Linked DNA regions of Pelodiscus sinensis. The protein of the gene in region 3 interacts with the protein of the main gene of each other region in a pairwise test. Links are inferred from orthologs where the notes say so. Each region holds a gene or a part of one and is shown on either strand. Other genes may lie near its edges.

Region 1 (10,933 bases), on a different chromosome or scaffold from region 3:
CTGCAGGGACGGGAGCCTATGCAGACAGCAAACCCTGGTATAGCAGAGACGGAGCAGGGAAAATCTGCAACGTCAACAGTCCTCAAACTCCTTCCACCTCCACAGGATAAGCGACCATCCGGAGCACTAGCTCACACCATGACTGGGTGCTGGGACCCATCCCGGGAGTGGCCACTAACCATGGGCAGACAGGAATGGTGGAGATCTCTCCTGGCTGCTGAGCAATATGCACAGAGGCAGGCCCTATAAAAACAAGCGGGACTGGCTGCCACAAGGACCCAGCAGATGTTCTTCATGGAGCAAATCTGCTCTGGCCCTTTAACACCCTCCCCCGTTGAGCAAACAAGAAGCATGCCTAGAGGAGCTACCACACCCGTGGGGGAGCAGGAAAGAGCCCTACCCCAAGGGCTGCCCATGTTTGGGGATCTAGGTACCGCCTAGTAAGAACTGCAAGGAGCACATGCCAAAGAGGTCACATGGGGTCAGTCCCGCTGCAGGTGAGACCACTGTCCATATACCACAGACCAGATGTAGGCAAGGCAGGCAACAGGACCGGACCAAGGGCTCCTCCTCCGCTAGTAGTTCAGCGGCCCAAAATCTGCTCCATTACAGCCACGTAAGGCTAAAGTACCTCCCCAGACCTCAAGAGCTCTGCTCTGGGTTCACACTGAGGTCACAGGCATCTGAGAACTCACATGTGCACAGATGGTCCCAGGATCTGGCCCCGTGGGCCTGATCCTCCATCGTACGGCAGCTCATGCCGCCTTCCCCATCAGTGCACAAGGTGCTGGGCCTCCGTGCACCAAGCCCTGGCTTTCTAGCCTGCAGCGAGGTGCTGGACGGACAGAGGCCCAGCCAAGCGGGGGAGGTGTGCCCTTCAGATAAAGATAAGGAGCAGTCCAGAAGACCCGTGAAGAAAAGTGCATTAAACGAGCTACATTCCTCGCCCTCCCTCTGCATCTTCACTTCAGGCCTGATTCTTCCGCTCCTCCCCAGGGCCTGTACTCCAGAAACTGTACCATCAACCTCCTGGAGCAACTATAGTAACTGAGCCCCTCACCTGAAGGACAGAACCAAACCCTTCAGTGGAGAAGGCTGGACTTGTACCAGACAGAGGCTGCAGAGATTTCTCTGCAATACGTGGCCGTCGCTAAAGGTTTGGGGGAGGCGTTAACGGGGCGAACTCCCCCTTTCTGAGGAACCAGACGAGACGTCAGGGCACTCACCGTTCGTGGAGGATGGTATACACTGAAAGGAACTCGAGACACCTAGAGTGCTGCAGTTCTGCCAGAGGTCTGCCGTACGCCCGTTAGCGATGAACCATTGCTGAAAAAGACACACAAACTGGTAAGAGGCGCCGGCAAGTCACAGCAGCGAAGGCCAGGGGGAGGCCGGGCGCCGTCCCCAAAGCAAAACACAAACTTGTGCTCCACCACATGCGCTGGTGAGGAATCCTACAGAGCTGCGCATGTTCATTCTTGTTGTGAACTCTTTTGACTTTGTGTGTGTTCATTCTTTTGAATTCTTACGGTTCCGGCGGTTATTTGTGTCTCGGGTATCTCTCTCAGAGCATGCACAAGCATGAACATTTACACACACACCTTTATTTGAACTGAGATTCGAAGGGAAATGTTTCACATTGTACTCAACTGCATAAAGAGGAGACTTTGGTTATTCTCTTTAAATGGGCCAAAGCTCCAAAAAAAGTCACTTGTCTCCAGCGGTGTGGAAAGCTACACTAATGGCTTCATAGGCATCACAACCAGATCTGGGATCCTGTGATTATTTTAATGTGGTTTTTTTTTAACCCTTGGAAAACTAGTCTGGAATTGACTAGCTCAGCAGATCTCCTGCACTGTAAAATATTAAAATAGGGGTCAGCCTAGGTTGGTCACATTCATTCTTTGAGGGGGCCTTGTATTAAGGTCTGGCCCTGGAGGAGTGCAAAGCAGAGCAGTGATTTGGTGCACAAAGTGTGCGGAGACCCCGAATGCAGAGAGAACGACTGCTCTAGAGACCACCAGGCTGAACCCTTCACTTGAAAGGTGATAAACGTCCTTTTGGCCACCCCATGTGTCCTGGAGACACCCGTGGGACGAGCGACAGGAGGGAGAAGAGCGAGAGGGGATCAAGTTTGTACTTACGCTCACGATGGTCGAGACAAACAGCAGCACCAAAACCGCCACATGGAGCACAATGATCCCCAGCAACAAGAGCAGCATTTTGGCTGAAGTCTTGGAACGATCTGAAGCGAGGGGGAGAGGAGACAGCTTTGAAGCAGCAGCAAAACCCAGGGCAGTCCCGCCTCTGCATTTGTGTCTGCAGGGTGTGTCCGGCTTTCGGGGGAGTTAGCTCTGAAAGGGCAGCAGGGGGCGCTGAACCAACCAGGAATAACCAAGGGGGCTCTAGTGATAGAAATGCAGCCCTGTTAGGCTGGTGTAGCTGAAACAAAACACAGGACTAACAAGATGGTTTATTAGGTGATGAGCCGGCCAACGAAAGCTCATCATCTAATACACCATCTTGTTAGTCTTTAAAGTGCTACATCGTCCTGTGTTTTGTTTCAAAGGGGCTCTAGTGAAGGAAACGTCCCAATTTGTATTAAAACAGCCCTGCAGCACCTTAGAGACTGACAAACCATGCTGATGGCATCATGCGTTTTCCTGGGCACACCCCACTTTAATGCCCACGAAAGCTCAGGATGCCATGGACACGTTTTGTTAATCGCCAAGGTCCTGCAGGACTATTTGTTGTTTTTTTAAAGGTTTGTTTCAGACTCACAGGTCCCCCTCCCGCGAAAAATGTGGAGGAAGGGCATTTCTTCGCCGCTGCAACATCTCTTTTGGCAAACTCATGCAGCTATTGGGAGGGGCGGGGGTCCTGCAGGAATCCAGCGAGGGGCTCGAGAGACAAATGCCTGAAAAAGGCACCGCCAGCTTTTGGGGGGGAGGGGGTAAACATTAGCTGGCTTGGAAAAGGGCAGTCCATCTAGCTGGGCGTGGGGGTCCTGTGCGGCGCCCAGAGAGGGGCTGGGAATACGATCTGAGGATCAAGGAATCTTCCGCTTCTGCGCTAGCCGCCGCCCTGCTAACCTTCCGCGCTGGCCGTGTCATGATCCGGAGTCAGATGGAAAAAGGGCAACTTCTGTTAAATGCCTCAACATTTCCACTTGGCCCTTCCCAGACAGGCTGAGCCAGGGATCCAAGGGCGGGGCTGGCTCTTGGGAAGCGGCGTCAAAGCCGCCCGAAAGCCCGGCTCTCCGGGCAAACAAAGGCAAAGCTCAACATCCAACAGCCCCCACCGGAGGGGGCGGGCGCCGGGAACCGTTATCCGCTCGGCCGCCCGCACTGGGGCTCGGCCCCGCAGCTGCACGGTCGGCTCCTCGCCATTAGCCGGGCAGGGAGAAGCGAAGCGGAGTCCGCGCAGCCCGTGGAAACCGGCCAGGGCGCGCTTCAGGAGCCGGAGCGGAGCGCGGCGGGGAGGGCCCAAGCTAAGGTTCCTGGCGGGTTCACACTGTGTCTAATTATACCGCGGTGAGGTCAGGGCCGCGGAATCCGTATAGGGGAGCGACCCGGCTGTAAAGAACCGGGGGGGGGGGGGGGCAGCAAGCGGGCCCCGCTGCGGCAGAGGGACCCGCGACCAAGCCCGGCGGGGGGGAGTTGTAGCTAGACGCCACCGGGCAAGCAGCCCCTGGCAGGTGGGGACCAAGACCCGGCTCCACGTCTGGGATCGCCTCCTCTGGCCCCCGCTCCCTTCTCGTCCTCCGCGGGCAAACAGCCCGCTGCAGGGCGGCGCGGCGGCTACTTACTTCGCTCCCGCAGTCACCCCCCCGCGAGCAAAGCGGCTAATCCGGAGCGGGCGCCGGTCCCCGTGTCCCAGACGCACAGAGCCAGGGGCTGGAGAGAGGGAGGCGCCGGCCAGCGCCAAGTTATAAAGTTTCCCCTTTAACGCGGGACAACGCCCCAGATTGCGTCTGGCCGCAGGGTGTGTCCCGGGCCTGGCGGGGGGGGGGTGGCGGCTATAAATACCCCACCCCCCGCTCACTGGTTCGTTGGATCCCACCGCGCCCGGCACCCCCGGTCTCAGCCCACGTGGGAAGAGGCGACTGGAGCCCAGTACTACGGGGAAGCGGCGCGTCCCTGCCTGGGGGCGCTGGCAGGGTGGGGTCGGGGATCCCCGGTCGAGGAGCAGAGACCCCCCCCCCCGGATCCGCTCCGCGTTTTGCTGCCCAGCCCCTGCTATTTGTGCCTGGGGAGAGGAGCGGCGGCTGCAGCCCTGGGGGAGGGGCGGGGACTGGAGCCCGGGGGGGGGGGGGGAGCTGCAGGGGTACCCGTGTCACCGGCCTGAAACCCCGTGGGGGGGGGCTGCTTCCACCTTCCTCCAGCAGAGTCATCCCTTCCCCCGGTAGCCTGGGTGGCCACCCCCCGGGCCGTGCGCTCTGGAGCCCCGCAGGGCGCAGCGCGGCCCCGGGGCTGAGCGGGGGGGGGGGGGAAGGTGAGGGGCAGCACACCCGGGATTTCTGGCGTCGCCCCTCTCGGCTGCCCCCTTGCTCTTCCTAACCCTCCGGGAAACGGACCCACTCGCCCTCCTCCGCCTCCTCAGTGCGCCCCGGCGCATCACAAGCTACTGCGGGAGACGCACCAGCCCCGTGGAAACGCACCAAACTTCGCTTTAGCTGCCGCGGGCTCCCCCTGCGCCCCGCGCAGCTGCCGAGCGAGCCTGGCTTTCGGAGCGCCCGCTCGAGTTCGCCGCGGGCTTCTCTCCGTGTAAACGCGTCTCCCGGCGGCGCGGCGCGCTGGAGAGGAGTCCGCGCCCGGCAGGAGAAAGCGCCCGGCTCTCGGCTTGCCCGGCCAAACACTTACCGCACTCCAAAGCGGGCAGCCCTTCCTGGCACCGGCAGCTCCTAGGAAACCAGCGCAACGTGCATTAAAGTCCCTCCAGGGGCGGGATGCCAGGCAGCGAGGACGCTAAAGGCCACCCGTGGCGCGGGGCGAGCTACAGGGGGATCCTGGCGGATCGGAGCCCTTCTCTGAAACCAGCGATCTGGTGCATTCACTGTTTATTCATCCCCCAGCCCAACGCCCAGATCTGTCACGGTGGCCTGAGAGCGCACAGCCTCTAGCATTTAAAGAGACAGCTCCGCGCTCTGTCTCCTCCCCGGAGCGCAGCTCGCGCGCCCGAGCTATTTAGGGGGGTCCGAAGAGTAACTGGAAGGAGGGGCAGAGACCTCGGCATGCAAGGCCCGGGAAGCTAGAACAATAACCAGCGCTCCCCTTCTGGGAGCTGTCAGTCAAGCCACCGGGCTGCACGTTGCCAGGCCTGAGGGGTTTGGTTTGCTTAAGAAGGGGCCAGTACCCCGGTCTCCCCGCTGCCGGAAGCTGATGCTGCTTTGCTGTTGTGTGTGTTTTTTAGACAGTTGCTTATTTTCACTCCTAAAATAAAATAAAATAAAATAAAATAATGTGGTTTAAAAGTGGCCCGGTGCTGGTTCTGCAGCAAGTGTGCACACACAAGGTGTGGGGAAGTCACCTGGGCCTGTCCTCCACTTACAACCAGGGTCCGCACCCTGCCTCTTTTACAGCCACCCTCCTCCATGGACCCAGCCAAGCCCCCAGTCACCCCGTTCCTTTCTGCAGGGCTACCTGAGGCATGAGGAGGGTCGTGAAGTGACTAAGCGGTCCAGAGGCAGGCCCAAGAGACTGATTTCCATCTCAGCCACACTGCTGTAAAGTAGGCTCAGTCCACGGAAGTCTGTGGAGTTTGTGCAGAATTTCATGGGGGTAACAGAGAACACAAGGTGCCCCCTAGCAAACATAATATTCCTTCCCTGTTGTCTGTCTAGCCATCCATCCCCATGCACACCCACCCACCCATCCATCCATTCATCCTTATACACTCTATCTATCCATCTATCTATCCGTCTATCTATCCCTGCACGATCTATCTATCTATCTATCTATCTATCTATCTATCTATCTATCTATCTATCTATCTATCCCTATACACCACTCTATCTATCTATCTATCTATCTATCTATCTATCTATCTATCTATCCCTATACACCACTCTATCTATCTATCTATCTATCTATCTATCTATCTATCTATCTATCTATCTATCTATCTATCTATCTATCCCTGATGTACTTTTAACAAGAGGGAACAATTTTCTCTCCACCCACTCCCTTCCATTCAAGTGCTTCATCAAACCAAATTTCAGGCCTCTGCAGTCTAACAGGGCTCATTCCTGGTAGGCAAAGGCAGCCCATCTATTTCAAAAGCTGGGCAGTCTCTTGGCTACACAACACACCTCCTTCCTTCAAGTCAGAATCATGTAGAGTAACCGATGTACAGAAAGAAGCAGAAAGCACAGAAATTCCTGTTATCCAGGTGGGTGTTCGAGGGGGCAGCTTTCAAGGATGCCTGGGTCGCTGATGTTCTGCGTACTCTGCTGTCGAAAAGCTGTGGCCAGCTTGGGTTATCTGATTGTGTCTCAAGAGACTCGGGCCACAGGGCTAACAGTGGCAGTGTGGACGATCAGGCTCCACACTCCGTGAGAAGAGCCCTAATGAGTACACAGCAATTGTTAGGCCCACAACCCAAGTCAAGGAGGGATCTGAGAGTAAAATCCGCTGGTGAGCAAAGGCGTTTGGATTCTTAGGACCAAAGCAGCCCGTGAAGGACTTCAAAAGGATCTCACAAAACTGGGTGATTGGGCAACAAAATGGCAAATGAGTTTTAATGTTGATAAATGCAAAGTAATGCACTTTAGAAAAAATCATCCCAACTCTACATATACAATGATGGGGACTAAATTAGCTGTTACCATTCAAGAGAGAGATCTTGGAGTCATGGTGGCTAGTTCTCTGAAAACATCCATGCAGTGTGCAGCGGCAGTGAAAAAAGCAAGCAGAATGTTAGGACTCATTAAAAAAGGGATAGAGAATAAGACAGAAATATCTTGTTATCTTTGTATAAATCCATGGTACTCCCACATATTGAATACTGTGTTCAGATGTGATCACTTCATCTCAAAAAAGGTATATTGGCATTGGAAAATGTTCAGAGAAGGGCAACAAAAATGATTAGGGGTTTGGAACGGGTGCCATATGAAGAGAGATTAAAAAACCTGGGACTTTTCAGTTTAGAAAAGAGGAGACTAAGGAGGGATATGATAGAGATTTATTAAAATCATGACAGGTGTGGAGAAAGTGTATAAGGAAAAGTTATGGGAACAAGGCAATAACATAAGAGCTAGGGGTCACCAAATGAAATGTATAGGTAGCAGGTTTGAAATAAACAAGAGGAAGTTTTTCTTCATGCAGCACACAGTCAACCTGTGGAACTCCTTGCCAGAGGATGTTGTGAAGACCAGGACTTTAACAGGGTTCAAAAAAGAACCAGATAAATTCTTGGTGTCCCTTTCCCCTCTTTGTCAGAGGCTGGAAATGGGTGACAGGGGAGGGATCACATGATGATTCCTTGCTCTGTTCACTCCCTCTGGAGTATATGGCATTGGCCACTGTCAGAAGACAGGACACTGGGCTAGATGGATTTTTGGTCTGACCCAGTACGACCGTTCTTATGTTCTTACTACAGCCTCCTACTGGGAGCCTCCTCTTGAGTAGAGGCAGGATGATGAGCGAGTTTTAAAGCCAAAAGCACCCATCCATAAATATGATTATCTTAGTCCCATCCATGGTCAGGCCCACCATGTGAGGCCCAGCACCAACAGAACCAAAAGGTAGCCTCTGCCCCAAATAGTTTACTATCTCGTCTAACCTCTGAGGTTGGTCTAGTGGGTGGAGTAGGAGAGATCTGAATGCAGCTCCTGTCTCACCTCGGCCTCAGTTCTTTGGCTGTAAAATCGAGATGCCTCTGTATCTTGCCCTGTATCTTGCCCGGGTTCCGTAAGGATAAAATGCAGCTAAAATCAGAAAGGGCTCAATTCATTCCATGGTACAGGCCATAAAAGCCCCCAGATGAGTTGATTGTGTGAGCAGAACTCTCCCCTGTGGAAACGGGAGAGAAGAAACCCTTTTGTTCCCATGCGTCCGAGAATGGGGCCAAATCTAGCGTTGTCAGCCAGGGAGAAATATTCAAACGGAAGAGAAGAGCAGCCGCAGGGTGAGGAAGCTTTCACTGGGCGTGAGCCAGGGAGAAGGAAATGGAGACGATATGCACAGCAAAGGGCCCGTTCCACAAACATTCTTCCGGCAGACGTTTGTCTCTTTTTAGAACTGCACTTTAGCCAAACAGACCAGGGCTTTGGGAGTATTTACTGAGCATGTGACTTCCCTTTTAGCTCTGGGGACGTGATACCAAGCTGCTTCCAAATATTTCAATCATGTGAACATGCTTCTAGGAGGGCTATTCTTTATGCCTTCTGCAAACAGAACGTGCGTGATAAATGCCTGTCAGGAAACCCGGGAACCTAGGCAGCAAGGGGAATGCTTCTAAAATGGGCACAAATGGTGGCTCTATAGATACCAGTCTAGACAGCTGGCATGAGGCTTGGCACCCAAGAGATGTCAATCACCTCCCTAGGGCCCCCCCCATGGATAGGGGTGACAGTACAGCCCGCTGCCTACATTTCCCCTCCACACAGGTGTCTCTGGGTACAAACAGCCCTCCTTCAGGTCTGGGTAAATGGTCAGAACAAAACTCAACGTCCCTAACATCCCTTAGCCAGCTGCTTCCTGCCCTACCTGTTTTCTCTGGTGCCTCAAAATCCCTGCAGCCTTCAGTTCCCAGCAACACGCAGAGACCTTCCAGCTCCCTGCAAATTCCCTGTCCAGGAGGGCCTGTTTAATAACCTGGGTAGGCTGTCCCCGGGTTGCAGCCCTTCAAGGAGCAGGACGCCCTGTTGCAATATGGAACGGCAACTCCTTGCAGTCTCGTTTTGCTTCTGCAGTACATCATGCACGCAGGACACGCTCATGACGTCCTCCCGACCCTTTCCACGACAGCTGCATGGGGTCATGGCTGCAGGCCGGTCTGTTCGAATGGGACCAAGGTAACGTGCCGGGGAGAGGACAGACTGCAGGCTGTGCGTGTGGATCCGTGGTGCACACACGTGTGTGTGTTTGTGACCACGAGGCAGCATCGGGGCGATGTGTATGCGACCTCGCTTTCCAATGCAATCAGACCTCCCACACCATCCCTTTATCAATCTAACGTGTGTACAGGGCAGACTATTCCCCGGGTGCCCCCAACACCGGCCATGAATTTGACCATCCTGTTTACAAGCTAGTCACACCTGCTTGAGAAGACGGGACTTTCACTGTACGTCTCTGCACAGATGCGCCTCTTCCCCCCCAGGCCCGGCCCTGTCAGCAGGATCTCTGGGAGCCGTTCCAATTCAGATCCTGCTGCTTAAAGCCCCCAAACAGCAGGAGGTTTGGAATGTGTCTGTGGAGGGAAAGGGGCAGCAATCGAAGCTGAGATCAGCAAGCGTGGGATTCGTGCGGCTTGGGGCAATGGGGTACAGACGCAGAGAGAGACAGAGGTAGGGCGTAGGGCCAACCTTTCTCTCTTCTCCATTAACGACAGGTATATATGTATCACTGTTTACAGGGCGTCCCCACTATAAGTCACCCCGGTATACATCCATTCCACACTAAAGTCGTTGACGTTTGTAGGAACTGACACATTATAAGTCCTCCTGTTCCCCACTATAAGTTGTGCAAAACGCTCCCCCCAATTTGCTTACATGGAAGTCAGCCGCGGGAAAATACTTCCCCGTTTTAAGTTGTTTTGCTATAGGTCCAAGGTTTTTGGAACATATCTTGGACTTATAGCGAGGTCAGCCTGTATTTGTGTGACGGCACGTTGGGGATCCCCCGTCTCCTGCACCCCGAAATGGCACAAACAGACCGCACCAGCCGGTGGAATAGAGGAAGTTTATTGCCTCTCCAGGATACAGCACAGCACAGATGGAATCTGGTCACAGAGCTGGGCTAGGATGCCTCAGGCCCCCTTGAGATGGGGGAGACTGGACCCCTAAACTCCAGCCCCTTTCCCTAGGCTGTCTCCTCCATGCTCTCAGACAGCAACTAACTAACTCTCTTCCAGCCCTGCCCCCCAGCCAGGGCAGCATCCACCTTCCTTTGTTCCTCTCCATGGGGGGTGTCTGGCCACTGGTTTGCATAGTGACTCATCCTGTTTTGCTGGGTCGTGGTACCCACGGCAGCCAGTGGGGGTTACCCCAGAGCCAGCAGCATAGAAACCAGCCAGGTACCCCCACTACGTCACAATTTGTATAGGATACCTATAGGTGGATCACCAGCACATTCATAATTCCATGCACAGAACAAACCATAGAGGTATATTTGAAAATGACAAGTGGTCCCGTGGCACCTTAGAGATGCACAAATAGCGACAGTAGCAAGAGCTGGTGTAAGTGAACGTGACTGATTTGACTGATTAGTACGTGGGTTCTCAGCCTTGGGTCATGATGCCAGCTGAGGTTGAGAACAGATGTCAGAAGCCTCCCTTCTCCCCATCCCTACATAGGAGCAAGGCCCTAACTCAAGCTGGCCCTGGGGGCCAGATCCGGCCCACCTAACACTTTGATCTGGCCCACAGACGGCATCTGGCCGCTTTCTGTTGCTATCCTGCTGCCCGTGCCATTGAATTTCCAGGCAGTGGCTCAGGCAGCAGGATCCTATTTAAATGGCTCCCGGCTCCTGGTCACAGCGCTCTGCAAGCCCTTTGAATAGCTGCAGCAACCCCCGGTAGCTGCCAGGCAAAGCAGTAGTGGCAGGGCCAGGAGCCGTGGGCCCTTTGTTGTGTTTTAATTCAAAGTCTCTGGCCCCGCACAACTCTGGGGGGAGGCTAGTCCCCAGCCCCGCCCCTTCCGTCTCAGGCTCCGCCCCTTCTGGGGGTGGAGCCAGCCTATGACTATGTACCAAAATTCATTAAGTACTTCCCG
Region 2 (10,487 bases), on a different chromosome or scaffold from region 3:
CCGGAGCCGGCCCGTATCCGTGTGCCTACAGGCTGTCTACACTGCACTTGGACACCCGGAGCCGGCCCGTATCCGTGTGCCTACAGGCTGTCTACACTGCACCTGGACACCCGGAGCCGGCCCGTATCCGTGTGCCTACAGGCTGTCTACACTGCACCTGGACACCCGGAGCCGGCCCGTACCCGTGTGCCTACAGGCTGTCTACACTGCACCTGGACACCCGGAGCCGGCCCGTATCCGTGTGCCTACAGGCTGTCTACACTGCACTTGGACACCCGGAGCCGGCCCGTATCCGTGTGCCTACAGGCTGTCTACACTGCACCTGGACACCCGGAGCCGGCCCGTATCCGTGTGCCTACAGGCTGTCTACACTGCACTTGGACACCCGGAGCCGGCCCGTACCCGTGTGCCTACAGGCTGTCTACACTGCACTTGGACACCCGGAGCCAGCCCGTACCCGTGTGCCTACAGGCTGTCTACACTGCACTTGGACACCCGGAGCCGGCCCGTACCCGCTGCCTTGGGCTTGAGCCCAGGGACTCTGTAATTGCAATGGAGCTGTCTGAATCCTGAGTTCTGTGACCCCAGGGTGCAGGCAAATCCCTGGCTCCTGCCTGAGCCTGTTGGTCAGACTGCCGGTGGGGGAGCGCTCCCCTCATTGGGCCAGTGTCCGGTGGGGTGAGCGCTCGTCCGGACCAGCAGGGCTACAGCGGCACGTCACTGCAACCCAACTGCCCGTAGCCTGAGCCCAAGTCATGGGCATGGGCATGTGCCAGCCGCGGGTGTCTAACTGCAGTGCACACGCATCCAGCATGGCCCACGCACAGCTCTGGAGCGCCTGCCACACACGTTGCCTCCCCATCGCCGCCATTCGCAGCTGGCTGCGCTGAATCCCACGAGCCCCCGGGCGAGGCCATGCTCTGGGCCTGGAGCAAAGGGCGGCGCAGCCTGGCGGGCGCCCCTCCAACTGTCTGTCAAGTCTGGGGCAGAACGGGCCCGGGGCCCTGCTCTTCCCCCAAAGCCGCTGGGACGATTGTCAACCCTCCCGGCAGCTGTTCTGGCAGCGCCCAGCCCATTCGCAGCCGCTGGCCATGGGCCCGGGGCTCGCCGGGTAATTCGGCTCCTCCCAGGCAGGCACAATTCTGGGCCACAAATCAAGCCGCACTCACCTCCCGCCTGCTGCTAAGCGCCTGGCTCGCCTCCCCCCCCCACACCCGCTCTGAGCCTGACTGAACTAGGCCAACGCGGGGTCTGGCCGGTGCGGCAGAGGGCGGTGCCGGGAGAGCCGGCTGCGGGAAGGGCGGTGGCCGCGGGGTCTGGCCGGTGCGGCAGAGGGCGGTGCCGGGAGAGCCGGCTGCGGGAAGGGCGGTGGCCGCGGGGTCTGGGCGGTGCGGCAGCGGGCGGTGCCGGGAGAGCCGGCTGCGGGAAGGGCGGTGGCCGCGGGGTCTGGCCGGTGCGGCAGAGGGCGGCGCCGGGAGAGCCGGCTGCGGGAAGGGCGGTGGCCGCGGGGTCTGGCCGGTGCTGCAGAGGGCGGTGCCGGGAGAGCCGGCTGCGGGAAGGGCGGTGGCCGCGGGGTCTGGCCGGTGTGGCAGCGGGCGGTGCCGGGAGAGCCGGCTGCGGGAAGGGCGGTGGCCGCGGGGTCTGGCCGGTGCGGCAGAGGGCGGTGCCGGGAGAGCCGGCTGCGGGAAGGGCGGTGGCCGCGGGGTCTGGCCGGTGCGGCAGAGGGCGGTGCTGGGGCGGGCCGGGGTCGACGCTGGCAGAGACTGAGCCCGAGCCCAGCGTGATGCCCTGCAGCCGGGAGGGCGTTGCTGATGTTTTCTGCCCACACAGGGCAGCCTGCTGCTGCATGCAGCTTCACCACGCTGGCCACACCGCCCATCGGGCACACGCATCAGAACTGAGCCAGGCACCTAGGAGGGGAAGCAGCCGAGCGTCCCAGCAGGGCTCCCCTTGGGGCCGCACAGGAGCCCAGGCTGTGGCTAGTTAAACAGAACGGCCAGCGCCAGGCTCGGGGCCGGGAGATGAAATTGACAGTCGGGACTCAGCAAACCCTGAGGAATCTGGCCCTTGAGTTTGCACGGGCTGATGAAGACGCTTTCAAACCAGGCAGGCATGTAACTCGGGCTCCCTCTCGGCGCGCTCGGGTGGTTCCCTGGCAGCCTGGGGGCGTTTCTGTAGCTGCACCACAGGAAACCTGTTTCTTTAGGGCCCCAGCAAAAGAACAACGCCAGCGACTCCGGGGTCACGCAGGAAGCGGCCGCTCAGGGCAGCCAGCACCAAGGTGAAATAAAACTGCTCAGCTAGCTCCAGAAAGCGCCAGGAAGCTCCGCTTGGCAGGGCACTGAGGCTGCCAGGACGGACCCTCTTGTGGGGCTGCTCAAGGGGGTTTCTTGCGCAAGGAGCAGTGTAGGCAGCTCCTTCTTGGGCCAACGTCTGTGCCGCAAAAATGGCAGCTCATTAGGTATGCAAATGAGGCACAGCGATATTCATCCCCGCACCTCATTTGCATATGTTATTGCCCAACAATGCGCAGTGTAGACGTATCCTCACTGTTGGAGGAGGAGGGGAAGTGGGAGGAAGCGTGCTCTGTGTCGCAAGAAGGGCTGAGTGGACGCTCCCAATTTTGAAATAAGCTCCGCAATTGACGTGGCTCGTTGCTTATTTCGAGTAAAGTCCTTTGGGAGATTTACCGTAGACATGGGAGCCTGCCGAATCGTGGTCAATGGTTATAAAGCTTTAACGGTTATTATGTCGACATCTCCCGGCGTTAAATAATTACCTGGCGCCCATTCCCATTGTCTGGCCCCCACCGCTTCCTACAATCGTGAAGATTTAAATTATTAAAAGAGGGAACAAATGCCTCAGCAGTAAATAGCTGTGGGAATGATACAAAATCCAAAGCCTCAAACCGTCATTAAATCCCCGGTCACCACGATCCATGCGCGTTCCCCCTGCAAGACCCGATGGCATGAGCATGTTATCAGGCCTCGGGCCCTTTTGCCACAATAAGAGTTGCATAAATGCACCGAATGTCAATGTTTTCCCTGATAAATGTGGCTGCTTTATCAGCCCGGGGAGGCAGTTTCAGCTTCACACTGGGCTGGGTAACGCTTTATCGGTTAATCAGCTGTTGTTGCCGGTATGTGACTCCCCCTAAGCACACAGCGGGGAGCGATAAAACGGCCACAGGCGTTTTCCAGACAATTGGTATCTACAATTATCGGGCCGTTGGCCTGAGAATGCCTTGCAGCCAAGCAGGCCTAGGAGCAGGACGCGCTGGCCACCCACAAGCCTGCCCTGCCTCGTCGAGCACAACGAAGCTCTGGGGGCCCTGCAAACCGGGAGTGTGGCTAACCCTCCCCTTCCTGCTGCTCCCCGCGTGCTGCATGTTTGTGCGCCGGGGCCGCCCGTGTGCTGCTGAGTCCCAGCGACAGGGAAGCGAGCGCGGGGCAGGGCCGAGGCGGAACCGCCGGGAGCGAGTTCGGGCTGGTTCCAGGACAGGATTAGGCTGCTCAGTGCACAGCGGGGCAATCGCGAGCGGTGATCACAGGAGACCGGCCGCCCCGGGGGAACCTGCGAGGCCGCCCGCCCCGAGTGCTGCCCTTGAGCAGGGCGGAGGCCGGGGTGCGTCAAAAGGAGCCGCGCCCGGGTCGGCCTCCCAGCAGGGGCGGCTCGTGGAGGCGGAAGGCAGGGGAGGGCTTGGGTCCCAGCTGCGAGGGAATCCGTTCCCCAGGCAGGGACCCGCCGCAGCCGGGCGTTAACTCCCCGGCTCAGGAGCGCAGGGCTGGAGCTGCCCAGCGACTCTTCCAAGCTCCGTTCAGTAGCGATGCCCCTGGGGCAGGGACAGCCCTGGGCAAGCAGCGGCCTTCCCCACCCTGCCTGGGAGGAGCCGCCTTTCCCTCTGGCTCGGGGAATGGCTGGGGGAAGGGAGGCCCGGGGCCTGGCACTATTATGGGGCCTGGATTCCGGCCCAGGGCAGGGCCTGACCAGCGAGGGGCACCGGGGCCGGGGGGTTCCACCCTCCCTAGAGCCCCCTCAGCGGGCGGGGCAATGAGCCACACCCTGGCTTCGCGGACGCCCGGGAGACTCGGTCGGGCGCCCGTGGGGACAAGGGCCCGTGCAGAGCGGACACGAGGGGGAGGGCTCTGACCCACCCTCCCAGAGCGCTGGGGGGCTATGGGGACAGCATGGGGCAGGAGCCCCCGCTCCCAGACTAGAGCAGCCGGCTCCCAGCAGGGCCCTGGCCTCGGGGCGGATGCTCTGGGGCATTTCTGCTGGCGCCAGGAGGGGGCGTGAGGCGAGGAGCTGGGAGACCAGCACAGCTGGGAAAAGACGCCAGAGAAACCTGGGGCTTGTGGGCAGGCGCAGGCGCCGGGGTGAAGGGAGCGTGGGCCAGACGGCCGAGCTGGGGCCCAGGCATACGGGGGGCTCGGCGCTTGGCCCGCCTCTTGGATCCCTGCCTGCCCTCTTCCAGGGGTGGGCTGGCCTGGCGGGATACCGGCAATTTCCTGCTGGGCCGTCGTGTCCACCCGCCGGTGCCCAACCCGCCGCCTGCGCCGCGTGCCGGACCTGACACAGGGGTGGGGCTTGAGGGGCGCGCAGGGGTGACGTCATGGGGAGGGCCGTTCTCAGCCATTTCCCGGGCCTGTTTTGATTGCCAGTGCGCTCCTGCCTGCTTCTGCTCCTGCTCAGTGTAATCTCAGAGATCCCACCGGGAGCCCATGTTCCCCCCAGCCCGGGCCCGACAGTGTTTACCCCCCTCTGCTCCAGTTCCTGCTGAGGATTTGTTACAGGCTGGTTCATTCTCCACCCTCATCCCAAGCGCCCCAGCTGCGCGCTCCTCACCGCACGGCCGGCCGTGAACAGGCTCCACTAGCGCTGGGGGGCGCGAGAGCCAAGAGGCGCCCTGCAAACGCTCCCTGGAACATTCCCCTTCGCGGTAGCGTTTCCGAACGTGACACACCCGACCGGGTCCAGCTCGAACACTTGCTCACGCTCACCGAGCGGATCCCTTTCCAGCCGAAGCTTTCACCACACGGCACACAGAATCCTAGAGCCCAGGGCGGGCAGAGCCCTTAGGAGTCAGCCAGTCCAGCCCCCGCCCAAAGCAGGACCAACCCGACTCAGTCAGCCCAGCCAGGGACCTGTCAAGCCAAATCAAACACCTCTAGGGACAGAGATTCCACCCCCTCCCCAGGAACCCAGCCCAGCGCTTCCCCACCCTCCTAGGGAAATAACTTTTCCTAATAGCCAACCTAGACCTCCCCCACTGCAACTTGAGCCCATTGCTCCTTGTTCTGCCACCACTGAGAACAGCCTCTCGCCAGCCTCTTTGGAACTTCCCTTCAGGGAGTTGCAGGCTGCTCTCAAATCCCCCCTCACTCTTCTCGTCTGCAGACTAAACAGACCCAAATCCCTCAGTCCCTCCTCATAGGTCATGTGCTCCAGCCCCGAATCATTGTGGTCGCCTCTGCTGGACCCTCTCCAATGCGTCCACATCCTTTCTATGGTGGGGGGCCCAGAACTGGACACAATACTCCAGATGCGGCCTCACCAGAGCCGAATAAAGGGGAATAATGACATCTCTGGATCTGCTGGCAATGCCCCTCCTAATGCCCCCTAATATGCCATTAGCCTTCTTGGCTACAAGGGCCCCCTGTTGACTCATCTCCAGCTTCTCATCCACTGTAACCCCCAGGGCCTTTTCTGCAGAACTGCTGCTTAGCCAGTCGGTCCCCAGCCTGTACCAATGCTTGGGATTCTTCTGTCCCAAGGGCAGGACTCTGCACTTGTCCTTATTGAACCTCATCAGATTCCTTTTGCCCAATCCTCTAAACTGTCCAGGTCCCTCTGGCCAGAGCCTTTCAGCACAGACGTGACCCCTGTTCTCGCCTTGCGATGGTTTGGGGATCAGCCCGTCAGACGCTGCACACACGGCCCTTCCCCGCCATTTTCCTCTTCCTCTCCCCAGGCCCAGGCCCCAGGGTGGGGAAGCAAACCTGAGTGACCCTGACCTACAGCAGCTACGGCTCGGGCCCCGTGTCCTGCTGAGCAGCACCCCCCAGACACCGGCTGCCTGGCCACGCCCTGGCTCGGGGCGGGCCCCTCTTGCCCTCGGGCCCCCCCCCCCCGTTCTCACACGTGCTGGAGCGAGGACTGGAGCCGGTCAGAGCTGTTTGCACGGAGCCACGTGGCAGCTGGCCGGGTACCAAATGGAGTCCCAGTCTGCGAGGCCACGGGCTGCCTGGTCTCCCCCATGGCGGCTGCCCGAGGGAAGGCTGCACGGCCTGAAAGGGGCCTGCACGCTGCAGCGAAGGACACCTGGACTGTCCACCCCCCTCAGAGATTTTTGGCGGGTTCCTGTCACGGCAGAGGGAGAACCCAGCCCCTGTGCGTCCTCTGCAGCCGCCTGCCCCCCCCCAACCCATTCGCTGTCTCGCGGCTCCCCCGGGGCGCTGGGCGGGACTTGCCTCTGCCTGTGGGGCAGCTGCCGAGGGGCGGGGACGCGGTTCCCGGGGGTTGGATGCCGAGGAGCGGGGACCCGGTTCCCGGGGGTCAGATGCCGAGGGGCGGGGACCCGGTTCCCGGGGGGTGGATGCCGAGGGGCGGGGACCCGGTTCCCGGGGGTCGGCTGCCGAGGGGCGGGGACGCGGTTCCCGGGGGTCAGATGCCGAGGGGCGGGGACCCGGTTCCTGGGGCGGCTGCCGAGGAGCGGGGACCCGGTTCCCGGGGGTCAGATGCCGAGGGGCGGGGACCCGGTTCCCGGGGGTCGGATGCCGAGGGGCGGGGACGCGGTTCCCCGGGGGTCGGATGCCGAGGGGCGGGGACCCGGTTCCCGGGGGTCGGATGCCGAGGGGCGGGGACCCGGTTCCTGGGGCGGCTGCCGAGGGGCGGGGACCTGGTTCCCGGGGGTCGGATGCCGAGGAGTGGGGACCCGGTTCCCAGGGGTCGGATGCTGAGGGGCAGGGACGCGGTTCCCGGGGGTCGGATGCCGAGGAGTGGGGACCCGGTTCCTGGGGCGGCTGCCGAGGGGCGGGGACGCGGTTCTCGGGGCGGCTGCCGAGGGGCGGGGACGCGGTTCCCGGGGCGGCTGCTGAGGGGTGGGAGGTTGTGCTAAGCCACTGGGGACGCAAAGGGGTCTATTTGGGCCTTGCAGAAGCTGCTGGATGGGGGGGCTGTAGAAAGGGCCCCCCAACCCTGCCACAGGTCTGAGCAACACGAGGGCTGCTTGCTCTTGTGCTATTGGACCCAGGCCTGCGAGGTGCTGAGCCCTCCCACTCCTGAGGGGTGAAGGAGCTGGAAGGACTCGCCGGAGGCCCCAGCCTTTCCCAGGCCCTGAGACCCTGGAACCAGACATACTGGAGCCTTGTGACCGTCTGGGCCAGGGACGGGCAGTCGGCAACGTGGGCCAGGGCGCCGCGGCCTCCCCAGCCCGCCCGACCGCCCAGGCAGGGGCTGCTGCCAGCGGGGTCGGGGGCCGTGGTGGCTGCCCGGCTCAGCGCCCCAGCTCGCCCCACGGCCAGGAAGGATCGGGCTGGGGGGTGGGCAGGGTTTGGCTCCGGGTGGGGCCTTGGGCAGAGAGGGTGGGGGTGGGGCTGGCGCTTGCCTTCCCCAGCTGAGCGTTCTCCCGCCGCCCATGGAGCCAGGGGTGTGAAAAAACACCTCCCCGGCCCTGCAGTTCATGGCGCTGTGGGAACCAGGCTCCAGCACTGGGAGCCGCTCTCATCGGGGTGGTCTCCACGGAGCGCTGGGAGCTCTCTCTCCCGCCGTCCCTGCCATGCCTCTCACTTGACAGCGCCGCCCCGGCAGCATTGCTGCAGCTGCGCGTCAAGCTGCCAGGGTGCGGCTGGACTGCGAGGGTCTAGCGGGAAAAGATGCGCACGTTGCCCTCTGCATTTTCGTGCCTTTTTCCGATACTTTTGTCGGAAGAGGCTTTTCTGAAATTTGGCCCGTCTAGACAGGGCAATATTTCAGGACCCCCCCCCCCCTTTCGAAAGCCCCCTTCTTCCTCGTGGAACGGGGCGTACAGGGGCTTCCGAAAGAGCCAGTCTGCTCTACGGCTAAAAAACAGCGGAAGAGCAAACGCGCCCCTGGACGTGGCGGAGTTTTGTTGGGACCCCCAGTCTAGCCATGCCCAAAGTGCAGACCAAGCCTAACTCCTGGGCAGGATCAGCCCTGCATGACCTACTGATGCTGAGCTGTCGTTGGTCAGAAAGCACCATTTACAGGCTGACCAGTGGTGCACAGCCAGTTGTACTTGTCCAGTGACATTTCTCAGACAAGGGCTTTATCAGCCCCGGCTTCCTGCTGTTTGCAAACTGCACAGAGCAGGGGGCAGCGGCGAGTCGGGAGACAAAGGAGCCTCTGCCCTGTGAACAAAAGACAGGACTACGCAGCACTTTGAAGACTAACAAGATTACTATTAGGTGATGAGCTTTCGTGGGCCAGACCCACTTCCTCAGATCAATATGTGGAAGAGAATTGTCTTTTGTTTCAGCTGGACCAGACTAACACGGCTGCATTTATATCACTACTCTGCCCTGGGAGACCGTGAATAAATCCCTAAGCTGTTCAGGTGAAACGCTGGCCCTGGGCCAGCAGCCTTTCACCCTGTGAACTCTGGTTTGCCTGTCACACCAAGAGGGGGGTCAGAATTTTCTTTTTCTCCCTTGTGGAAAGTGTTAGCGTTTCTCTGTAAAACTGAAAAGTTTTGGTCCCAAAACAAGTCATTTTACAATTTTTATCTGAATTATTGATTTGGGGGGTTGTCTGTGTTTTAATACAAAACCCTAAATGTTTAAAGGAAAACAAATACTCCTCACAAGTTTTCATTTAGTCCAAGTTCCACTTTCCTGTTAAAAAACAGGTTAGATGGAAAATTTTCAGGCAGCCTCACTTACATCTTTAATTAATTGTTGTTAAATGCCTGGAGACTTCTTACCGTTTTCTCCCACTGTAATATTCCGGTTATATAATCAGCCTAATTCTTTCTCCTTGTGCCTGTTCATTCGGTACCATCTGTAACCCCACGGTCTCAAATGACTCTTCAGACATCAGAGACTGCTGGACAGCTGCCACCGTCCAAGAGGAGCAGGGTCGCCAGCCCACTCTCACACATTGAAGATGACTCTTCCATTGAAGAGCATGTCCGTCGATGGACCTGGGGTACGCTGTGTGAGCTGGAGTCATACCAGCCCTTTATTGGACAGGCTAAGCTTTTACAGCCGTCCACGTTCTGTACAGCCAAGCTCCACTCATTGAAACAGGCCCCTGCCGTTTGCAGCCGAGTTAGATTTGTGGCCAGCAGCTCAGCCTCTGCCTGGCCCCCTAGGAAAACTTGTCCTAGGGAGAGACGTCTCAGCAGGAAATCGCCCTCACAGCCAACAGGCTCAGTTTACCTGTTTTACCAACTTCTCTCTGCCACCCCAGCACTTGGCTTCCCCCTGAGACTACTCCGAGATCCACAAACCCAGGTCTCTGGGCACCACCCTAACGGTCATGCTGCTTCTACAATTCAAGGAAATAAAAAAGCCCAAACTTACGAATTCTGGGATAAAGAGGAAATCAGGAAACGTGGCCAGGACAGAGAAGCCACTAGGCAAGGACACTGAAGCGGCTGCGGATGACATCTTGGTCTTTCAGCTGACCCACCGCAGCTGGGAGCAGACGTGGCTTTCAGATGCAGCCTCCACCTCTGAGACAGGTGAATTCGTAACTGATCGACCTGCCTAGAGGGAAGGAGCTAACATAGGTGTGGCCAGCTCATTTGACAGACTTGCCCGTTGTGTTTGCAAGCCTGGGGAGGGGGCGGGAGAGGAATGTTAGATTTTAACTTTCCTGTAGCTTTGGATCTAGCCTTAGATCTCCTGGGCCAGGCAGGGTTAGTGGTGGAGACCTGCTGGCCCAGAGGGGGCTGGAATGAAATGTTCCAGGGATAACTCAAGGGACGGGGCCCAGGTACTCTGCTGGGGGAGAGCAGTGTCACCCACCCTATTGACATCAGTGGAACTGAGCTGATTTACACCCCCCGCGGGCCTGGCCCTGGCTTGTGACCTGAGCCCTGCCGCTGCTCCACAACTGCATCCACAGCTGCTCCGTGAGAATTGGGAGATTTCCAGGGGCCCCCTTAGCACCCAGCACCTCCTGCAGCTGCCAAAGCCTCGGGCGCTCCCCCAGCCAGCCGCCGTGGCTTGGTAGCACTGGGAACACGGCGGGGACAAGCCTGCCCTGGAAAGGAGGAACCCGCGTCCCCTGAGCGAGGGGGCCCGTGGCCAGAGCGCTGAGCGCGACCCGCCAACGCGACAGGTCGCCACGGGCAGCGGTGGCCCGGGCGCATTTAAATCAAGAGCTGGCAGGTAAGAGCAGCCTCCCAGCTCCCCTGGGGCAGGGCAGGGACTCCCGGGGGGGGGGGCTGTAGGTCAGCCCCGTGATCTGCTGACGCCTGCTGCCCTTACGCGCTGGGACTCTCCGTTCCAGCGACCCGGGCA
Region 3 (10,364 bases):
AGACTCCACTACTTCCCTAGGTAACCCATTCCAATGCTTCACTACCCTTCTAGTAAAATAGTTTTTCCTAATATCCAACCTGGACCTCTCCCACCACAACTTGAGACCATTGCTCCTTGTTCTGCCATCTGTCACTACTGAGAACAGCCTCTCTCCATCCTCTTTGGAACCTCCCTTCAGGAAGTTGAAGGCTGCTATCAAATCCCCCCTCACTCTTCGCTTCTGCAGACTAAACAGACCCAAGTCCCTCAGCCTCTCCTCGTAGGTCATATGCTCCAGCCCCCTAATCATTTTGGTTGCCCTCCGCTGGACCCTCTCCAATGCTTCCGCATCCTTTTTGTAGTGGGGGGCCCAGAACTGGACACAATTCTCCAGATGTGGCCTCACCAAAACCGAATAAAGGGGAATAATGACATCTCTGGATCTGCTGACAATGCACCTCTTAATGCAACCTAATATGCCATTAGCCTTCTTGGCTACAAGGGCACACTGTTGACTCATATCCAGCTTCTCATCCACTGTAACCCCCAGGTCCTTTTCTGCAGAACTACTACTTAACTGGTTGATCCCCAGTAGGCATCAGTGCTCCAAGAATGGCCATTTGAGATGTGCACCTCCTCCACCTGCTCTTCCCCTTGATTGCACAATGCTCCTTGAGTCCAGACAGGCAGAGCCCTGGGACTGCATTCTGCTCCGTGACAGCTCTGGGTACATCTGGCATAATGCATCCTTTGGGAGTCTGTGACAAGGACACAGCAGTAGTCTGGAATGGGGAAAGGATCCCTGCCTCTCACATGCCAGGGAGTTCAGGAAGCAGCGTGCAGATAGTCAGGAAGGAAAGGTTTCCTCTTTCCCCCTGGCTGGTCAAAGCAGGGAAGCCCCCAGGACTTGTGACTAGTATTTTCAGGTGAGATTTTTTTCTTAGCGTTGTTTGTTCCCATAGTGATATAGAACAAAGCAGGGTATGAAAAGCAACTTGGGTCTGGAGATTGCTTCCCTTCCCTAGCTGGTGAAACAGGGCCCTCTCCCCACCTCATGCATGGTGGATACAGCAGCCCTGCACTGTACTCAGCCTGGAGCTTACTCTCTTAAGCATCTTGTAGGGTTCTCTGCATGGCTTTATCCAGGCTCATTTCTAATCTTGCATGTCAAGGGATTTCCACCATCTACCTTGGGAAATTCTTTTGTCTGAACTCTTGCTTTACATCTATTTCTTCAATTTCACACCACCCTGAACAGTCCATTTGGCTTCTAGGTGCAGACACATTGTCAGTATTTCTAGGCAGTAATTGTGTATCGCCTTTTAGTCATGGCTTGAACAAAGTTCATTGCACACACAGTTTTTCAGTCTTTCTTTAGAAGCTAGTCCCTCCAGGCCCTTTAGTAAAATGCATCTTCTGAATGCCTTCCATCTGCCCACTACTTTCTGTTTTATTTTTTAAACACTTAGGCTGTGTCTAGACTGGCATGATTTTGCGCAAATACTTTTAATGGAAAAGATGTGCTTTTGTGCAAAAGCATCCGTGCCGGTGTAGACGCTCTCTTGCACAAGAAAGCTCCAATGGCCATTTTAACCATCAGGCTTTCTTGCGCCAGAAATTAACGTGGCTTTCTACACTGGCCTCTTGCACAAGTATATTGCGCAAGGGGGCTTATCCTTGAGCAGAAGCATCGGAATATTTGTGCAAGAACCACTAATTTTGTACATTACAAAGGCAGTGTTCTTGCGCAAATACTCGTGGCCAGTGTAGACAGGCAGTCACTTTTGCGCAAAATCATGCCAATCTAGATGCAGCCTTATTTATCTAAATCTATGGGACAGGGTCCATGGCAAAAATGTTCATACATGAGGGATAAAAATTAGGCTTCCTATTCTGTGTGGAGGTGCCTATTTACGTATCCTAGTTTTGAGAAGTGCTGAGCTCCCGATAGCAGCCATAGACTTGGAGGGAACCAACAGGTGCTCAGTATGTTTAAGCATGAATTTACTTTTTAGAGGCCTACTATGAATTTAGGAGGCTACCTTTAGTACCCTTTTTTTGAACATCTTGACCCATGTCCCTGTGTTCTGTTCAGCCAGCTACACAGTAGGCATTCAACAAATCTGTACTGCTATAAAAGGAGAGGCATCCGTCATGACCTCTGTCACAGAGAACAGACTTCCCACGAGACTCCCCTGCCTCTGACATGTCACAAGATGCCATGCATTGGGAGGGGGAGGAGGAAGGTGCAGCTCAGGCACTTTGTGCGCCTTTAACTTTCCCACCGAGTTGCCAGAGACCAACCAGCCACTGCCGAGTAATGGCGCACACCCCTCCCGGGCAGTGCAACCTGCGCGCCACTCCTGTGTCACTGCCCAGTCCCTCTTGCCCACCTTGAGTGCGCCGGGACTTGGGCGAGGTTGCTCTGCTGTATGGTCAGCAGGCGTGGGGGGACTCACACTGAAGTGGGGTCTGAGAGGTCCCGTCACCCAAGCAACTGCCAGAATCCAGCCCCCTCCTGGTGTGAGCCTAGGCACTCCACTCCCCCCAGCAGCCCATTAAATACCTGAGTCAACCCCTCAGTACTGCGCCATGCCCCATGCTTGCAAACCTGGCCCCGAAATGCCTCCCCTTGCTGTGACCCTGAAATCCTCCCTCCTCCCCCTCAGACTGGTTCAGCTAAGTTAGCAGCCCATGGGCTGAGCGTGGAATGGAGGCCGCGCCTTGCCAGGAGTGCTGTGAGCCAGCAGGCTGGTCAGGATACAGCCCGCTGGCACCTGGATAACCAACTCCAGCTGCACCCGGTGCTCTCCAGTGGGTGTGAGTGCACGGTGTGCATGGGCAGTGCGAGGTGGGGGCAGAGCAGCGAGGACACGGCCATGGCAGCAATGGGTCCTTTATGGGCAAAATGGCAGCTAGGTCTGCTTTTGCCCCCCTGCGCCAGGCCAACCTGAGTGTACGTCTACTGTCACAACGGGATGGGTAATGCTAGTAAATAATAAAAGCTTCAAATAATGACTCAGAATGGCAGTGCACTAAATTGAAAATGCACTAAGAATACCACACTCATCGGGGCCATAGAGACACAGACCTATAATCAGAGCACCTTCCAATGCTTAAACTGTTAGCTAGTTTTTTGCAAAATGTCTGATCTGCTATCCACTCTAACTCCTAGGTTACTTTCATCATTACTGGTTTCATTTCTCCCTATCACTGGATAGCCATGTATTGGATTACTACATCTGCTGTAACAGTTTTAACATTATTTTGTGCTCACTTTGCTAAACTTTCCAAGTAGGTCTGTGTTATCTGTCTGATCTTGTGTTTGCAACACCCCTCCATTTAAAATCATTAATTTTGATTACATTAGAAGGCTATATAATTCAGTTTCCAATATAGTTCTGAAGATGATAAATAATAAAGATCTTACCATTAATCTCAGTCCATTTTTACTTAGCATTGTCTTTGGTTCACAATATTTCAAACAATGTTTTATTCATTTATAATGTTCACATTCAAGATTATCTGAATTAATTTGCCAAGTAAGATTTCTTGGGAAACACTATCAAATTCCTTACAAAAAATCAAGATATATCTCTGGTTTTCCTCAGCTTATACTGTTTTTCTAGGTTGTCCTACTGGAAGATTTCTCTGGTGTTGATTGGGTCCTTCAGGGCAGGGAGCTGGGTGTGTGTATAGGGGGTGTAGGAGTCAGGTTTGGGATTTGAGGAGGAGCTCAGGGCATGAGTTTGGAGGATGTGTGGGTGCTGCAGTCACCATTGGGGAATGAGGAAGGGCTCAAGGCAGGGGACTGAGGAGCCAGTTCAGGAGCCAGTGAGGGCCATGTTGTCTGGGTGGCAGCTCCATGGGGCTGGCTGCAGTGAGGGCCACACTGGCTGGGGGTTGAGTGGGAAGCTTATCTCCACCCCTGACCTCTGCTGTCCTGATGAAGTTATAGCTGTCCCCATCTCCATCTCTGGCCCCTTGCTGCCTTCTTGTGATCATTACAGAGTATAAGTGTTCCTGCTAGCAATCCCCTCCCTTTTTATGGTATGAAAAACAATTGCATTCCAGGCACACCCCAATGTCCTGGCACAACCAAACTGACCTTGTTTTAAGTTAGGGTAAGAGGAAGCTGCCTACCAAAGTTGGTGGTCCTAGCTCTTAATTGTTTAGAAGGAGTTCTTGAACACACAGCCAAACAGACAGACTTGCTTGCTTGCTCACAGGCAAACTCCCTCAAGGATATAGTAGATACACTGCACCAGAGATGCATAAAATACAGAAATTTAGAATTTAAATGCTGATTTGCCTGCAATAATAAATCCTTTCACAGTCACTTAATACCAATACCAGTAAGGAAATGGTTCTCTATTCCATACTGTCACTCTTAAATTTAAGTGAGAAGAAAAATATTGTAAACAGACAATATTTGCAAACACATGTCTGTTTCAGACTAATTCCATTCATTCCTTGAAGTATACCAAAGTAATAAACTATACCTCTTTCAACAACTACATGCTCTAACAATGAAGATCCCCATCACCCCAACAAAATGTTCTTCTCATACCTTTGGAGCTCTCTTTGATAGGAAACTGGAGTGCAGGAACTAGACTTAGGTGCGCCACAAATATTTCTGAGAGAGACAATCTGGTTTCACCCCGTCACTGCTTTCAAAGAGATGGACAACAGGAACCAGGAGGAGAAGAATTGTACGCTCTGCAATGCTCCATCTGAAAGTTGCACAGGAAGTTTCCACTCTGCTAGTTTGAAATGTGATGCCCCCTCACTAAGCGCTCACAGGAACTTCTCTCTTTGTAGGTTTACCTATTAAATTAATCTTCTTCAGGACACTTAAATATTAAATGTAGTGTTGTCTAAGCAATCAATGATTAGCTAGTATCTCTGCATTTCTTAAAACGTGGGGCAAGAATCTTTTTTTTAATTACTCTGGTGTAAACCCACATTTAGGTGAATATATTCACTTCGTATTTATACTTCCATAAATGAGATCAGAGTGTAGCCTGAAATCCCTGCTCATGTTTCCTACTTGCATTATCAGGGACGCAAGTGTAGCCTAGTGGAGACCTGGATTTATCTTCAGAACCCTGCATGGATACAAAATTGGTATCCTCACCCACATCTGAATCTGCAAAAGTGATCTGTGAATATAAAGTAGATATCTGCAAACTTGCAGGGTTTCAGATACAAAATTGTATCCACATCAATATCTGCAGAAATGATACCAATGGATATAAAGCAGATATCCACAGGTTTGCAGGGCTCCACCTATCGTGGACCTGTGGACTATGGCCAAGCCACTTGGATTATCTGCAAGAGGATGAAATTGAAATAAGAAAAACTCTATCTCTAGTCTTTGCCTGAACCATAACTAGGGGTCTATCACATTTGAAGCTGTGAAAATGGCATCATGGATAGTGAAATCTGGTCTCCAGCTACTCAGTTCTGAAGTCAGTTCTGTACCACCCTTATTTCTCTGCAGCTTCAGAGCTGGGTGCCTGGGCATCAGCTGCTGCCTCCTGCCCCCAGCTGCTGTCAGCATTGCCGCCAGCAAGAGCACAGAAGCAATACCATGACCTCCACATGGCAATAACACACACCAATACCAGGACCCCCATATAGACTTGTGCCTTTGGAGCCCAGCTATTAGTTTGAGGAATCACATATTTTTTGTGCTTTGATGATGTCATAAATAGCAAATTTTTCAGGTATGTTACTCATATGCAAAATTTGCTGTTTGTGCGGTGACCAAGACCTGAAAAGTGTTTCTCTGCAATTAAGTAGACCACTAACCCTAACCAAGCATTTCTCCATTACATCTTTTCTGGATCCTGTGTCTGAAACCAGGGGGCTTAAACCCTGGTTTACAGGACTCGGTGGTACTAGGCACCCATGATTTACCATACAGCATCCAGTCACCAGTTTCCCGAATAGCAGCTGAACTTTGACAGAAGTCGCATGTCCTGGGATCTGATTGGTGGAATGCTGGGAGCCCTGTTTGGTCTGTAATCTCTATTTAACCCAAACAACTGGGTTCTTCCTTCTCAGGACTTTTCCTTTTGTACCTACCTAATACTGATCTAAAGTCTGGGGGGGGGGGGGGGGAGCCATGATAGTCTGTAACTGAAAAAACTTTAAAAACAACAAATAGTCCTGCAGCACCTTAGAGACTAACAAGACTTGTAGCTTGATGATGAGCTTTCATGGGCTCAGTCCACTTCTTCAGATGAATGGAGCAAGAAGTCCAGTTTCCAAATAAATAATGGAGTAAGAAAGGGAATTGAGGGGGAAGAGAAGGAAAAAGAAGGCAAAAAAGGGGGGAAATTGTGAATTAGAGAGTCCATGCTAAATGAAGCTGATAGAGAGGGTACTAAATACATTTAAGGTCTTGGCCTTGGCTTTGGTCTTGGTCTTGGCTTTTTATGTCATTAGAATGTGGAATGTAGCATGTCATCCAAGCAAGGTCTTTGTTGAGACCTCTGTTGCAGGGATCAGACTTGTACATTAAATTCAGTTCTGCAGCCTCCCTTTCAAGCTGCTTTAGTAACTTCGTGGGCTGTGCCCACGAAAGCTCATGATCCCATCTACATGTTTTGTTAGTTTATAAAGTGCTACCAGACCATTTGCTTGCTGTTTTTTTCTGTAACAGACTAACTCGGCTACTCCCGGAATCTTCACCCTGTCTGACTCTCAGTTTTACTTTCTGGCTTGCATCAGACTCTGACTTCCTGGAATGATCTGGTCTGACTCCTGACGTCTGCTCTGACTACTAGATTAGACTGTACAGGCCCCACTCATGACAGCCTGTTCCCAGTTTGTCTAACTGACTTTTCCATTACTTCCTCAAAAACTTTTCCCCTTTTCCAGAAAAAAGGGCTTCAGACATTACCAGCCTTATTTATTCATATGCTGGAACATTTGTAACAAAGCTACTGCAATGATTGGGTGAGTGCTGGACTTTTGGTCTATGAAGCAGTCTGGAGAGGAGAATGCAAATGAGTCTGTAGCGGCACAATACTGGATGCTCTTTGGGTTTGTCTACGCTATACTATGCAGTTGATCTTCCAGGGATTGAATTAATGGGTCTAGTGAAGATGTGCTAATTGGAACTGAGAGGGCTCCCCCATTGGCACCAGCAGTCCTACTCCTATGAGGAGCAAAGGAAGTCAAAGGGAGCGTGTGCTCCCATCCACCTCCCGCTGTGTGGATGGCGCCAAAATATGATGTAAAATACTTCCACTCCAGCGACGTAATTAATGTAGCTGGAGTAGCGAATCTTAAGTCGACTTTCCCCTTCCGTATGGACTAGACCTTTGTGTTATCCCCCATTGTAGTAACCAGGACTGGACAGAGGCATGGGCGAGCCGGGCAGCTGCCCAGGGCGCCAACCAATGGGGGGCACCTGATGGCAGCTATAAGGGGCGCACAGCATCCCTTACAGCTGCCATCAGGTGCCACGCGCCTGGCTCCTGTAGTGCCGGCCCCGTGGCACTGGCCAGCAACTCACTTCCCCCCATGGCCACGGGGCCCTGCACGGCCTGGCCATGGCTGACCCACGCATGCGCTGTGCGCACGGGCCCGCACACCCTGAGGGGGTGGGCCTGCACCCCACAGGCAGGCCCACACATGTGCCGTGTGCCCAGGGCACCAAAAGGGCTTGGGCCAGCCCTGGTGGTAGCTATGTCTGTCTGGATACCATCTGACAGCTATTATATTTTGGGGAAAAGAAAATCTTAATCAAAAGAAAAATGAATATCTGAGACTAAAACAGTCGAGCGGCGTTGGATGGGAGAGGACTTAGGGTGCTGTGGGCATGTATACTTTCTGTCTGGCAAGATGGGATTGAAAGTAGGTCTGAGAGGGCAGTCAGTGGGTGGTCCTTCCAGGGGAGAGGTTGGGACAGAGCTCTTTGTTACATCACTTCCCTTCAAGTCTTTTCAAGAACAGTGAACTTCACCCTAGTTGCAGACACACAAGCTCACCCACATGGGTTGTGCCATGTTTCAAAGCACTCTCCTGCACAGCTTATATCACTGCTCTTGCCAAAGAAGTTTTCGTGGGCCAAAAAATTGTCAATTGTCCACGATTTGACCTCAGGAAGTGGGTCTGGCCATGAAAGCTCATCACCTAATAAACCATCTTGTTAGTCTTTAAAGTGCTATATAGTCCTGTCTTACGTTTCAGCTACACCAGACTAACACGGCTACATTTCTATCACTTGCCAAAGAACTGGAGCTGTCATTGCTCCTCCACAGCTAAAACCAATCTCCCACTCTCAGCCTGATTTGGATCATGCCACAAGTACAAACCAATCTACCTGACCATGGACACAGCAAGCTGTGAAGGGCATTTCTCCCTGCAGGCATCACCCAGTAATCAGGCAGGGCAGGGCAGGGCAGGGCAGGGCAGGGCAGAGTCTCTTCTTTCCTGGCACTCCTGTTGGTAGCCACTTTGGTTTTGCTGTTCTCCAACCCATGTGTGGCTTGGCCCTCCTGCTAGGTCATGTGACCTAGTCCACTCCTTTCAGGCTACACAAAAGAAATTCCAATAATGGGGAAGTTGTCCAAGGCCTGCATGGGACATGAGGCTTTCTCCATAAGTCAAGTAATGAAAGAGAAGGAGGATTTAATAGTGGCTGCATTTCCCTTGTGGGCCAGTGGGGTCTCCTGGGGGCAACAGTGCACTGTGCTGAAAGGAGAGGTCATGCTACACTGCCCACTTGACTGAGACAGCCATGCTCCCATGGAGTTCTCTTCTCCTTCCATGGTGAGAGAGGACACATGAGACCCAGGAAAGGGCTGAGACAACTTGGTGCATGAACTGTGAGTTGCTGGAGATACCAGTTTTCCCTCCAATCCAAGCAGTGTAGAAGGATGGGCTGCCTTCTAAGTTTCCCCTAGAGGCCAAGGGTGGTGCTGTGGCCTCAGTTTCCCTTACTGGCTCCTCAATCACAGAAAGCCTTTCTCCAATCCAATAACAGCCCTTCCTGGTGTCTAGGTTTATCAACATAACTATCCAAACCATTACATTGCTTTCAGGGCTGATAAGAGAAAAACATACCCTGAATGTGGTGGTCTGGTCTGGGCTCTTGCCATTTAGGAGTTTTCAAAGCTTAAGTGTTGATTTAGTTGCACCAGAACAGAGCTGGGCTGGGAATGTGCACTGCCTGCAGCACTTTGCCAGAAAATGTCCTTGGCTCATGCTGATAAAGTCCTAAGTGCCCAGTGAGCACACTAAGCAGTGTCAGAAAAACACTTCTCCCTGTAATTGTAGTGCATAATAAGGCACATTGTAGGATGAAGCAAGACACATCTGTAGGTATTAATTTTTTATTTCAGACCCACTGGAAGGATTAATTTATAACAAACCAAGACCAAGATAGAGTAGATGTGCAGCCTCTTATACTGGGTTCCTTTGAGCATGAGATCCTCTAGTGAAAGGTGTCCAGGTACAGTGTGCTCTGTCCTGAAATCTGCAGAAGGATCATGTCTACTATAGATCTGTGCTGCCCAGGAAATGGTAAGTACCTGGGCCTGGTGATCTGTGACTGCAGTAGAACCACTGGCAGATGTAAGGGCTCTGAGCCATGTGTTTTAATAGAGAAATAGGATTCATCTACATCTGGCACAGGAGTGGTTAGCCCCTTTCACTTCAAATATTTCTTTTAATAGCCTGCCTCTTTAAAGAGACCCAGGGTATGTCTACACGAGACCCCTAGTTCGAACTAGGGTGGTTAATGTAGGCATTCGAACTTGCAAATGAAGCCTGGGATTTAAATATCCCGGGCTTCATTTGCATGTTCCCAGGCAGGCGTCATTTTAAAATCTCCTTAGTTCAAACTGACTGCCTGCAGCTACACGTGGCAGTCAGAAGTTAATCCAAACTAAGTCCTTAGTTTGGATTAACTGTTACTCCTCCTGCAATGAAGTGGCTAGTGTAGACATACCCTTACAGACTGCTTGGCCTGACTTCTGACCAAGTCATAGGGTATGTCACGAAGCATGTCTATACTACAGCCATTAGTTCGAATTAACTTTAATAGTGGCTATACATGCAAACCGCTATTTCAAAATTTAATTCAAACTAGTGGAGTGCTTAATTCGAACTAGGTAAACCTCATTCTATGAGGACTAACACCTAGTTCGAATTAAGTAGTTTGAATTAAGGTCTGTGTAGCCCATTCTGGGCCAAACCAGGGAGACTCTTCTGCCCTCTCCCAGCACAGGAACCCTTAAAGGGGCACGGGCTGGCTACGGTGCTCGTGCCAGTTGCAAGCCTGCCAGCACCCAGCCAGCAGACCCTGCACCTGGCACAAGATGAGCCAGCCACCCGATGCCACCCAGCCCTCCGCCTCTTCCCAGG

What was found.
Region 1: the proteins of NKG2-A/NKG2-B type II integral membrane protein-like (region 3) and PMP22 interact in binary tests that used the Homo sapiens proteins (3 or more experiments, as listed by UniProt). The two-hybrid records come from large-scale screens. The link is inferred for Pelodiscus sinensis from reciprocal best matches to the Homo sapiens genes KLRC1 and PMP22.
Region 2: the proteins of NKG2-A/NKG2-B type II integral membrane protein-like (region 3) and MAL interact in binary tests that used the Homo sapiens proteins (3 or more experiments, as listed by UniProt). The two-hybrid records come from large-scale screens. The link is inferred for Pelodiscus sinensis from reciprocal best matches to the Homo sapiens genes KLRC1 and MAL.

The regions. Positions count from the first base shown.
Region 1 is NC_134730.1:3,208,283-3,219,215, reverse strand, and holds the start of PMP22 (peripheral myelin protein 22), read right to left. Parts: upstream 5,099-10,933; 5' UTR 4,863-5,098; intron 3,968-4,862; exon of another isoform or gene 3,809-3,967; intron 2,246-3,808; 5' UTR 2,223-2,245; coding exon 2,145-2,222; intron 1,327-2,144; coding exon 1,227-1,326; intron 1-1,226. UniProt on the Homo sapiens protein: Might be involved in growth regulation, and in myelinization in the peripheral nervous system.
Region 2 is NC_134713.1:198,051,799-198,062,285, forward strand, and holds the start of MAL (myelin and lymphocyte protein), read right to left. Parts: upstream 5,115-10,487; 5' UTR 4,929-5,114; coding exon 4,846-4,928; intron 2,817-4,845; coding exon 2,780-2,816; intron 1-2,779. UniProt on the Homo sapiens protein: May be involved in vesicular trafficking from the Golgi apparatus to the cell membrane. Plays a role in the maintenance of the myelin sheath, and in axon-glia and glia-glia interactions.
Region 3 is NC_134711.1:135,404,341-135,414,704, reverse strand, and holds the start of NKG2-A/NKG2-B type II integral membrane protein-like, read right to left. Parts: upstream 4,687-10,364; 5' UTR 4,552-4,686; intron 1-4,551. UniProt on the Homo sapiens protein: Immune inhibitory receptor involved in self-nonself discrimination.